Linked DNA regions of Callithrix jacchus. The protein of the gene in region 2 purifies or fractionates together with the protein of the main gene of each other region. This does not show direct contact. Links are inferred from orthologs where the notes say so. Each region holds a gene or a part of one and is shown on either strand. Other genes may lie near its edges. The genes, in order: CLNS1A, RIOK1 and COPRS.

Region 1 (4,325 bases), on a different chromosome or scaffold from region 2:
CAGCTCACGGAAGCCTCACCTTCCCAGGCTCAAGTAATCCTCCCACCTCACCACCCCCAGAGTACCTGGGACTACAGGCACACACCACCATGACTGGCTAATTTCTGCATTTTTTTTGTATTCTTTGTAGAGACGGGGTTTTGCCATGTTGCCCAGGCTGGTCAAGAACTCCTAGGCTCAAGCTATCTGCTCATCTTGGCCTCTCAAAGTGCTGGGATTGCAGGCATGAGACACCTTGCCCAGCCTAAGAATTTTTTAAAAACAGATAAAAACTTGAAATGAGTTATACTTCCTTAGTGTGAGAATTGTATTGTGGTTATACAAGAGAATGTTCCCGTTCTTCTGAGATACAGGAAATGGAAAACAGGTCTGCAATTCTCAAATGGCTCAGAAAAAAAAAAAGAGAGAGAGACATAAATGTGGCAAAATGTTAATTAGATTTGAAATTTTTTTTTTTGAGACAGAGTCTCATTGTCAGCCAGGAAGAAGTGCAATGGCACAATCTTGGCTCACTGCAACCTCTGCCTCCTGGGTTCAAGCGATTCTCCTGCCTCAGCCTCCCAAGTAGTTGGGATTACAGGCACACGCCACCACACCCTGCTAATTTTTGTATTTTTAGTAGAGATGCGGTTTCACCATGTTGGCCAGGCTGGTCTTGAACTCCTGTCCTCAGGTGATCCACCCCACCCGTCAGCCTCCCAAAGTGCTGGGATTACAGGCATGAGCCACTGCACCCAGCCTTAGGTTTGAAATTTCTTTTTTTTTTTTTTTTTTAGAGACGGGGTTTCACTGTGTTAGCCAGGATGATCTCCATCTCCTGACCTTGTGATCCGCACGCCTCAGCCTCCCAAAGTGCTGGGATTACAGGCATGAGCCACTGTGCCCAGCTAGGTTTGAAATTTTTCAAAATGCAAAAAGAAATACAGGACTGCTCCTCAAAAGGAGTTATAATATTGAAAGAAGTGTCAATATACTTAAATGTCATGAATAAAAAAGGAATGCCTGGAACTAAAAATGTATCTGTGCCCCATCTTTCACCACTTATAAGAAACTGCTTTCCCCAATTATCAAAGATTTCCTTATCAATACTCAATATAGACTCCAGATTTTGTTTCTGACTGCTCCTTCCTACTTTCTCAAGTCCCTTCTTCTTCTGTGACCCACCTCTTAATACAGGTGTATCCCGAGGATTCTACACTTGGTCCTCTTCTCTTCTGGGATACCAATCCATTTCCATGAGTATACGCTAATACTTTCTCTAACGACTCCCAAACATCTCTCTTTAATATCACTTTCCCAAGACATATGTTTTTGTTTTTTTGACAGGGTCTCACTGTTATGCAGGCTGGACTGCAGAGCACAATAACGCCCACGGCAGCCTCCACCTCCTGGGCTCAGATGATCCTTCCACCTCAGTTTCCTGAGTAGCTAGAACTACAGGCCACCACCATGCCTGGCTAGTTCTTGCAGAGACTGAGTTTCACCATGTTGCCCAGGCTGATCTCAAACTGCTGGGCTAAAGCGATCCACTCGCCTCAGCTTCCCAAAATGGTGGGATTACCGGTATGACCCACCACACCCGGCCCAAAACACACTCATGTGTACAACTATTCCACACATGTCCTGACCAAACTCATTATCTGCTTATCACATCAATCTTGCTTTTCCTCCCATCCTTATGTCTTACCTCAATGACTGGCCTGAAGCCTAAGCCTTGATCAATGCCTAAATTTCCCTTTAAAGCAACAGTTCTTTACAGTTTTTGTAGTCTGGATTCTCTGGGAGGCAGAATTTTGGCCCCACGACCTTCACTTTCTGGTGTCACGCCTGTGACTATGTTATATTACATAGCAAAAGGGACTTCGCAAACGTAATTCAGCTTATCAGTTGACAGTAACATTGGTAGATTTTATCCTGGATTTTATAAGTGGTCCCAAAGTAATTATATGAGCACTTAAAAGTAGAGAATTTTCTCTGCCTGTAGACAAGTGATGGAGCAAAAGGGGAAGCAACAGGTATCTGAAGGACAGGAAGGATTCAATGTGTCATTACATACTTCAAAATAAAGAGGACTACAAGTCAAAAACAGAGACCTCAGTTCTACAACTACAGTATTTAAGGAGGATCTATCTGACTGTGAAAATACAAAAGTGCTCCAGGTGGTCAAATAAAAGGGCAATTCCTTCCAGGACCCCAAAACGGGAGACTAGTCCCTCTGCATATGACCCCTGTCTGTGTCGGGTGAAGAGGTGTTCCTCCTTAGTATACCTACAGAAGAAAATCTATATTGTGTAGTATCCAAAGTTTCAAAGTCCTCCACAATCTGCTCTGAAACTACATATCCCGCAGAAGGGACCACTTCCTGCATCTGTTCATCCGAAAGACAGGCACACTTCAGACCCTTAAAACGAGACCGTGCGTGAAGGGCAACGCAGGCGCCAGACCTCCCGTAAACAGGAGAGTTAACAGCAAAAAGAAAAGCAGCACAACCCATGAGGGGAAATTACGGCCGGAGAAAACAGAATGGAAGACTCCGGAGGAGCGCCAGAAAAACCGAGTCTTCCACCCAGTACAGGTATCCATGAGGCGTCCCAGGCACGCGCCCCCGCTCCCAACAGCCCACTAGGTCGCCCCTCGCCTGGCTCCTTCGCACCTCCTGCGCCAGCGAGGAGGAGGCCGGCGCTGAGGACCAGGAACCCTACCTCTCAGCGATGTAAAGGGTACCGGTGCCAAGGCCCTTCCCGTTCAGCACAGCCTCGGTGTCTGGCTGCTGCCGCAGGAGCCCCTCCGCCGGCCCAGGCGGCGGGAAACTTTTGAGGAAGCTCATAGCAGCAGGGAATCCCGCAACACAGGCCCTGAGGGAGTTGGGGCACAGCAATACACGCACAGCGCCGCCCGCCCCGGAAAAGGAAGTTACCCCGGAAGAACAACAGTCGGCCAGGAACCTGAGCCCCGTCAACCATAGAGATGAGACATTCTAGGAAAAGCGTCGGAGGTCGGCTAAGACCGAGTTGTTTGACCGCGGGACGGCCCTCCCTCTCTTCCTCGCCATTTCTGAGGTTCTGGGCTTCAAATAACCGAGAGTTCTGTGGGACTCTCTACCTCAAGGTTGTCACAGTGAAACCGCCATTGCAAAATTATAGTTGAGACACTGAAAGCGACCTATCCAAATCCATGTTGTTTCTAACCTCCAAGCTGTCCTTGTGCATTCCTGGGCATACTTTGAGAGGAACTTAGTTTATAGTTTAAAGTTTAAAACAAATGATGACAGCCTTTTCCCAAAACAAATTTCCTTCTTGCTTGGGGTCTGGACTGCCTTTGTAGGACTAACACATTAGCTACAAGATTTTAGAAATTATGGTTTAGATTAGAAATTACAGCTGGAGGCTTCAAGATTCTGACCCTCCCTAAACTGCACCTAAGATCGGCCCTTGCACCTGATGGATCAGCTGCCACCACCAGATGGATAAACTGGCTCATGTGATCTTGTGGCCACCCCCAACTTTTTTTTTTTTTTTCTTTGAGACGAAGTTTCACTCTTGTTTGCCCAGGCTGGTGTGCAGTGGCATGGCATAATCTCTACTCATTGCAACCTCCACCTCCTGGGTTCAAGCGATTCTTCTGCCTCAGCCTCCCGAGTAGCTGGGATTACAGACACCCGCCACCACGCCTGGCTAATTTTTTGTATTTTTAGTAGAGATGGGGTTTCTCCATGTTGGCCAGCCTGGTCTCAAACTCCTGACCTTCAGGTGATCCACCCGCCTTGGCCTCCCAAAGTTCTGGGATTACAGGCATGAGCCACAGTGCCCAGCCAGCTCTGTGAGTTTCTTTGAGATAACTTCTGTTCCAAACTGTGTTTGGAAGTTGCGATAGACATTGGACTGGGTCCAGGATCGAATTTGATCCAGTTATTAACTGGCTTGGATCCAGTTAGAGCCTTCTTACATCTGACTAGGCCAGAAAGAAACTGGTAGTACATGGTGATATTTTAGGGGTTATAAAATTTGGCTTTTGAAAATTCACAGGGATTGTTTGTGTTCCTCCCTTTTATTTCTTTTTTTATTGTTTTGTTATGTTGAGTCAGAGTCTTGCTGTGTCACCCAGGCTGGAGTGCAATGGTGCCATCTCGGCTTACTGCAACCTCTGCCTCCCGGGTTCAAGTGAGTCTCCTGCCTCAGCCTCCTGAGTAGCTGAGATTACAGGCGCCCACCACCACACCTGGCTATTTTCTGTATTTTTAATAGAGATAGGGTTTCGCCATGTTGGCCAGGCTGGTTTCGAGCTCCTGACCTCATGATCCACCCACCTCAGCCTCCCAAAATGCT
Region 2 (3,645 bases):
CCAGATAGTAAATATTTTAGGTTTTGCAAGCCAAGAAACAAAATTGAAGTGATTACGTAGGTCCTTATGTAACAAAAGAAAAAACCCTCAATTTTTATTTGTGAAATTAGAAATACTTTAATAATAACTGAATACAGGTTTGTGTAATACAAGTATACTAGAGAAGAATGGAATTATTTGATGAGGGGCAGATAATATTTGCTTAGTTGGGTCTAAAAGTTTGTGTTTGCTATCTTCAAACTGGTTGCAAATGTTTATCTGTAAAAACTACCAGGTAGGCCAGGTGCAGTGGCTCATGCCTGTAATCCCAATACTTTGAGAGGTTAAGGTGGGTGTATCACTTGAGGTCAGGAATTTGAGAGCAACCTGGCCAACATGGTGAAACCCCATCTCTACTAAAAATACAAAAATTAGCCAACTACCAGGTGGCTGGTTGGATTTGGCCAGTACATCTGGTAGACAGAAATAGTGTCCATATTCTAAACTTCCTGTGTTACAGTGAGATTAATTTTAGATGCCTTTTTATAATCATAGGAGATAGTATTTAGCTCACATTGTTCTTAATAGTGCAATATGCATATTTCACTGTCTAGTTTTGTGTTGATTGTTTTGTTTTTTTTTTTCCTTTTGGTTACAAGATTCTATACCAAACTGTCACAGGATTGAAGAAAGATTTGTCAGGAGTTCAGAAGGTATGAAGAACATGTGTTACTGTGTGTTTATGTGAAAACACTTTTAAAGGATATAAAACTCTAGTTGTGTTATTTTTTATTTAATATCATTAGAACTACATTAATGCTATTTTGTTCAAATTTTATAATTGCTTACAAAGTCCATGGACATCTTCTGAAATGCCCTTTTTGTGTTCTTTCTAAACACAAATTGATTTATTTTTCATTCTGTCTCTGAATTGTTCTGTTGTTGCAGGTGAGATATTTATCTTTTTGTATCCTAGTTGTCATTTGTGGGGTTATTAATGGTAGCCATTGTGCTTCTTAATGGTTTTTCCAACTGGCTTAGGGAAACAGTATAGAATGTGGTCTCCTACCAGGATATTACTTGTTAAAAAACAGTGTCAGGAGTTCAGCAGTCCTGCTGTGCTGGATTCCTGTAATGTTCTTTTTTCTTAAAACAATCTTGTTTTGTTTTACATTTTAGAAGGGTAGGGATTAAGTAATTCTAACTTAGGCAGTCATAAAAGCAGTCTTTATCTTTTTAAATCTTCCTAATTGAAGACTCAAATAAAGGATCACAGTTTGCTTTCTTAAAATCAAACTGATTTGAATTTAATTCAAACCGTGGAATGAATTTTAGGGGAATTCTGGTATTTTGTATTTCTGAGTTATAATAAAAGGTGTCATAAGGAAGTTCCACTTTGGATTCTAAAGCATGAAGATTTTATTGCAGTGAGCTAGAAAATCTTGTGTACAATTGACTTCTAAAGATATGTCTTTTTTTCTTATATAAAGGAAACCCTTACTCTCTTAAGAACTACTAGGAAGCACTGTATTAGACAACTGCTAAATTTCAGGAAGTAATGAAAATTTCTCGTCTCTGAATATTGTTTTCCCTCTCAGTTGGATTAGTTTATTGCTAGAAATGTGTTCACAGGAAAACAGCTGTGAAATTATCTGTATAAATCTATATTTTTTTACCTCTGTGTGTATTTCACCTCTTTCCCAATCCCAACTAAAGGCTCCCAATTAGCTGAAAGTAGCAGAACAGCTGTGTCATTGGTCTAGGTCCCCCAGTCAAGCCCTGGTTCCTTCATTTAGGTATGTTCTTGAGCCTCACTTGGAATGGCTGCTTTCATATTTCCTTCCTGATGTTCATTCTGGCGTTTTGATGTTTCAGTACAGGATGTAAGTTTTAGCATATTATTTGTAAACCAAAAATCTGAATTCTGGCATTAACACATTTAACAACAACACATAACTAATTGGTTTAGAATAACATGGTTCTTTCATAATTTCAAGGTCCCTGCACTCCTAGAAAATCAAGTGGAGGAAAAGACTTGTTCTGATTCAGAAGATATTGGAAGCTCTGAGTGCTCTGACACAGACTCTGAAGAGCAGGGAGATCATGCTCGCCCCAAGAAACACACCACTGACCCCGACATTGATAAAAAGGTAAGCAATGAAGTACATTCCCCTTTTTTTTTTTAGAGACGGAGTCTTGCTCTGTCATCCAGGCTGGCGTGCAGTGGCACAATCTTGGCTCACTGCAACCTCTGCCCGCCCCCCAGGTTCAAGTGATTCTCCTGCCTCAGCCTCCCGAGTAGCTGGGACTATAGGTGAGCGCCTCTATATACAGCTAATTTTTGTATTTTTAGTAGAGATGAGGTTTCACCACGTTGGCCAGGATGATCTCGATCTCTTGACCTCATGATCCACCTGCCTTGGCCTCCCAAAGTGCTCGGATTACAGATGTGAACCCCCACGCCCAGCCTCCCTTTTTCTTTAGTGTGGGAGCACAGCCGCTCTCACGTTTCTTTGCTCAAGGATCTAGCTAGATCATGATGGCTGAAAACATTATTGGTAAGTACCTCTAATTACAGTTTAAATAGCTAAGTGTGAACTTGACTTTTAGTGGTAACATTATCTAGAGATTGGGCTGGCCATTGGAGCACCTTGGTCATTGCCTAAAGACAGCACACACTAAACTCAATACATTTCACATGAAGCACAAGGAGCTGACCAGGGTAAATACTGAAGAGCCATTTCAGGGAGATTTATAGTCCAGCTGATGTTTCTGGAATCTAAACGACTATATAATAGTTCCCCCACCCATGCTTTCACTTTCTTCTGTTTAAGTTCCCTGTAGTCAGCCATCGTTTGCAAATATTAAATGGATGGAAAATTCCAGAAGTAAACAATTTATAGGTTTTAAATTGCACACTGTCCTAAGTAGTGTGATGAAGTTCATGCTGTCCTCCTCTATCCTGCCTGGGATGTGAATCATCACATTGTCCAGCGTCTTCACACTGTCAACACTCCCCACTCGTTAGTCATTGAGTAGTCTTGGCTCTCAGTTCAGCTGCTGTGGTGTTGTGGTGCCTGTGTGCAAGTAACCCTTACTTTGCTTAATAAGAGCCATAAATTACAAGAGTAATGATGTTGGAATTTCAGGTATGCCTAAGGGAAGCCATAAAGTTCTTCCTTTAAGTGAAAAGGTGACCATTCTTAACAAGGAACTCACACCTGTAATCCTAGCACTTTGGGAGGCCAAGGAGGGATGATCACTCGAGACCAGTCTGAGCAACAAAGTGATACCTATCTCTGTTAAAACATTGCCGATGAGCACCTGTAGTCCCAGACACTTGGGAGGCTAAGGCAAGAGGATCCCTTGAGCCCAGAACTGATCATGCCACTGTATGCCAGCCTGGGTGACAGAGTGAGATTCTGTCTCAAATCAATAAGGAAAGGGAAAAGAATCATATGCTGAAGCTGCTGAGACCTATGGTGAGAGTCTTATCTGTGAAACTGTGAAGAAGGAAAAAGATGTTTGTGCTGGTTTTGCTCATCCCAAACTGCAAAAGTAAGAGCCATAGTATGTGATAATTGCTTGGTTAAGATGGAAAAGGCATTAAATTTGTGGCTGAAACATGTAAACAAAAACATCTTCCAGCATTTGATGGCACCATGT
Region 3 (4,110 bases), on a different chromosome or scaffold from region 2:
TTCCAAAGGAGGGTACTGTTCAACACTGGGCAGAAAAGGCCACTAAGCAGCAGAGAAGACGGGCTAAAAGAGGAGGTAAATGAGACAGAGGACTATCCCTCTCCTCACGTCCTTGGTCTCCCCAACTTCCACTGTCTCTGCCATCTACTTGCCTAGTCGATCCATAGCCTTCTCAGTCTCTCTCTCCCGACTGGAGTAGTCAACTGTAGCAAAGTCAGCCTGCAGGAAGAAGAAATGATTACCAAGGACTTGGGTATCTGGGAGATGCCCAGTATTCAGCTATTGTCTTTCAACTTCACCCACTCTTCCATACTCCCCTTGGTGATGCGGGGCTGGGACTCTGCCACCCACTTTTCTGCTTTGCCCTGTTAAACTGGGCAAGGCTGGAGGGAGAGGGGCCTTGTTCCTTTCTAGTCATGTAGGCATCACCTCAGGACACTTCACTGTGGTGGCAGGGATGCCTTCCTATAGCAGCCACAGAATCCGGTACACAGTTCTGAGAACTCTTGCAGAGCCAGCCTCAACACTGAGCCTTTTCTTTAAAGGTCTGGGTCCCAGGACCCTCCTCCAAGCTCAGAGACCCCTACACCAGCTGGGGCAGTGCCTCCTCCTTAAAGGTTGGAATTTCAGCTCTGCAGAGCCTTTACTCTAAGCTTTTAAATTTTAATCAACTTCATCTCTTTGTTCCTTCAGCCACAGGGTTGGTAGCTGTTCCCGGCAGTTGCCACCTCCATTTCCATGTTTTACCTTTTCAGTTACTTAATAACTTTATAGCAACTCTATCAAATTGTTTCCTCACTGACACATTGAGGTGGGGAAGCTTTAGTTCCTCTGCAATGCTGAGCACTGAAGGCAATATTTCTAATCTAACTGAAGACCTTCCCACACAGCCAACCAAATGCTTCTCTGCTCCCATCACTCAGTTCTTGGAACCCTATGACCTCCAAGACCTCTTTCTAAAGAAAAACAAAATATTTCCACCTGTATAAAAAGACCTGATTCTGGCTGGGGGCAGTGGCTCACACCTGTAATCCCAGCACATTGGGAGGCCAAGGTGGGTGGATCACAAGGTCATAAGATCGAGACCATCCTGGCCAACATGGTGGTGAAATCCCATCTCTACTAAAATTAAAAAAATTAGCCAGGGGGGGTGGTGCACGCCTGTAGTCCCAGCTACTCAGAAGGCTGAAGCAGGGGAATCAGTTGAACCCTGGAGGTGGAGGTTGCAGTGAGCCCAGATCATGCCATTGCACTCCAGCCTGGCAACAGAGACTCCGTTTCAAAAAAAAGAGACCTGATTTTGATCACAGCCCTGCCACCCATTCAGAGTGTGGCCTTGAACACATCACTTCAATTACCATGCCTAAGTTTGCTTCTCCAGAAATTGGGGATGACTGTTGTAACCCTGCAGGGGGCTGATGAGGTACCATTTATGAAAAATGGAATGTAGCAAGAGTGTAACATTTCTTGAATTTAAATTCACCTTTTCTGCTACATCTGAACTGCACTTGGCACCTGCTCCAATCAGAATTCATTATGTAGTCATGTCTGTGTTTAATCATTCAATTCCACCCCCTGTAGTCAGTGACAACCGCTGGTCATTGCAGCCCAAGGAGAAGTCAGACCTCTCACCTAAATCACTGCCACGGCCTTCTAACCATCTTCTCATCCAGTCATCTGGCCCAGCGTTACAAAATTAATCATTACTCTGCTCAAAACCTTCAACAGCCCTCCACTGAGGGAGCACAGAATTAGCCATGGCATTCACACGTCCCCTCCTCCCCCACTCCCATCAACCTGTTGAACATAGTGCTCTGCATGCTCTGGGACCCAACTCCAAGCCATGTGCCCTGCACTTTTTCATCTCCACGCCTCTGCAAACACCACCAGCCTCTCACCTTTATCCCTTCCTGCTGTGCCCTGACAAAATTAGTCCCATTCTGTTCTGCACTCCAAAGTAATTTGCTTTATAAGTGTCGCTGCATTTTTCATATCTTACTTTGGCTGAGTACCATCTTTGAGGCATCATTCATCCAGTCAGTATGTCTATCTCCTGTGCCAGGCACTATGCTAGGCTGGACAAACAGCCCTAACAGAGGGTTCCTACTGTCCAGCGGCTCACCATCAGTCGGGAACTGACTGTAAACAAGGACAGGTGATGACTGTAATAACGGTCTCGGGAAAACCGTGAGCTGTCTAACGTACATGAAAACAAGTTTCTGGAAACCCTGCGTCAAACAGGGCCTTTTTGGTTTCAGTAAGGAGAAGGGAGAGCGCGCACGTGACATCATCTGGGGCTCAGGGTTAGCGGACATTCCCACCAACGGACAGAGGTCCACAGGTCCGTCAACTCAAGTCCCTCTCCTCACCGCCCTCACCTGGCCCTCGCCCAGGCTCCTGGCAGCGGGCCCCGGCTCTCGGTCACCAGCGTCCCCTTCCATTTACTAAATCTGCAGCGGAGCCCGGCGGGGGGACAGCCCTCCCTCCCGACCCAGCGCGCCCACCCACGGCCTCTGAGTTCCCAGTCCCGCAACACCGCGGCCCCTAGGCCTGGCCGTTTTCAGCTCGAGCGCGAGCCCAAACGGCGCTCGGTGTCGCGGGGCGGCCCGAGGTCGGCCTGAGGCGCTTCCCCCGCCCGGCGGCCCCCGCCCAGCCCGGCCCGTGAGCCCCGCGACCCCCAGCCCCAGGCTGCGGCTGGCTGTAGCGCCCAGCCCCCACGCGATGCTCACCTCCGGGCTGGGGGTCGCCTCCCGCGCGCTCTGCAGCGGCGAGCCCTGAGACGGCTCCGCGGCCCCCTGCGCCTGGGCCCCGGCGGCCTGAGGGTCCATGCCGGCTGCCCACGGGTCGGCGCCCTGGACGCCGTGGCCCACGTGACGCACCGGCCCGGCTACCGCCCTGAGGATCCGCCGTAGAGGGGCCAATCAGGTTGGGGGGGGGTCCCGGCTGAGGAGGCGGGGCGCAGGGGGAGGGTCAAGAGGAAACGGGGGCGGGGCGGCGCAGGAGGCGGGGCGCGCGGCCTCACAGAGCCCTCCCCTCCCTCTCCCGCGCGAAATGTGAAACAATCTCCCGGACTGATTTTGGTAACACCTCCCCGTGCAGATCCTAAGGCTGGACGACTAGCTGGGAGCGAAACGCCAAGCGTGTCCTACGCGGCCCCTCGGGGTGTGCTCCAGCTTTAAAACCTCGTGTGGGTAAGACACATCAGCAACCTAGTGACCTCTGCCTTGAGCTAATGTCGTCTTCGAAGTTAATCCATTAGAAACCACGATAGATGATTAAAACACAAACTACAATGTGCGGTGGACACAGAATACAGGCCACGACGCTTCTCATAACCCTAACATTCGGGGCTCCTGTATTTTGACGCTCAACGCCTGATACTCGACAACCTCATTATTTTCCTTTTTGCCTCGAAAGGTGGCTTCTGGGGATAGGCAGGGCCTGAGCTAGGAACAACCCAAATGGAAAGACAGCCTTCCCTGCCTTTCCCACAGTACCTAACCTCAAACAAATCAGCTTAAAGTGTGCCCATTCCATCAACACATGAGAGACCCTCTTCCTTCATCCCCTCAAAGACTATTGTTTGTACAGTACAAACGGCATCTGTAAAAATTTAGCATAAAACTGACACACAATGTTCAATTTTATGTTTTTTTCTCTATGCAGATGTTCCTACACAGGAGTCAGTGTCCCCAAGGCGAACTGCCTCTAGGTCATTAATGTCCAGTAGAACCTTCTTTAATGGTGGAAATAAAAGTTATACTATCTGTGCTGTCCAATATGGTAACCATATACCTGCTGAGCACTTGAAATGTGACCAGTGTGAATGATAAACTGAGTAATTGTAATAAATTGCTACATGTGCATAGGAGCTACTCTTTCTAACAGTGCAACTCTAGGTTTACCAGCTAGATGCATTGTCATAACCTGCAATAGTTAGAATCAGATATAGGGATGTGATGACACCAGGTGGCCACCTTTATAGCCTTGTGTTAAGGAGACTACCACTATCCTCTTTGCTCCCTACTCTGTACAACACATATCTCTCTTGTAAATAAAGTTCCAAATAAGATTTAGAATGTGAAACTTCCAAAGACTTAATTAAGGGAG

The links.
Region 1: the proteins of RIOK1 (region 2) and CLNS1A purify together in Homo sapiens (affinity purification with mass spectrometry; 3 studies listed by BioGRID and IntAct, with this or other methods). This does not show direct contact. The link is inferred for Callithrix jacchus from reciprocal best matches to the Homo sapiens genes RIOK1 and CLNS1A.
Region 3: the proteins of RIOK1 (region 2) and COPRS purify together in Homo sapiens (affinity purification with mass spectrometry; 3 studies listed by BioGRID and IntAct, with this or other methods). This does not show direct contact. The link is inferred for Callithrix jacchus from reciprocal best matches to the Homo sapiens genes RIOK1 and COPRS.

Annotation. Positions count from the first base shown.
Region 1 is NC_133511.1:62,961,713-62,966,037, reverse strand, and holds the start of CLNS1A (methylosome subunit pICln), read right to left. Parts: upstream 2,910-4,325; 5' UTR 2,828-2,909; coding exon 2,703-2,827; intron 1-2,702. UniProt on the Homo sapiens protein: Involved in both the assembly of spliceosomal snRNPs and the methylation of Sm proteins.
Region 2 is NC_133505.1:23,042,340-23,045,984, reverse strand, and holds part of RIOK1 (serine/threonine-protein kinase RIO1), read left to right. Parts: intron 1-638; coding exon 639-692; intron 693-1,976; coding exon 1,977-2,129; intron 2,130-3,645. UniProt on the Homo sapiens protein: Involved in the final steps of cytoplasmic maturation of the 40S ribosomal subunit. Involved in processing of 18S-E pre-rRNA to the mature 18S rRNA. Required for the recycling of NOB1 and PNO1 from the late 40S precursor.
Region 3 is NC_133506.1:102,328,126-102,332,235, reverse strand, and holds the start of COPRS (coordinator of PRMT5 and differentiation stimulator), read right to left. Parts: upstream 2,946-4,110; 5' UTR 2,829-2,945; coding exon 2,730-2,828; intron 2,669-2,729; exon of another isoform or gene 2,442-2,668; coding exon of another isoform or gene 2,379-2,441; intron 2,140-2,378; exon of another isoform or gene 2,030-2,139; coding exon of another isoform or gene 2,000-2,029; intron 220-1,999; coding exon 153-219; intron 1-152. UniProt on the Homo sapiens protein: Histone-binding protein required for histone H4 methyltransferase activity of PRMT5.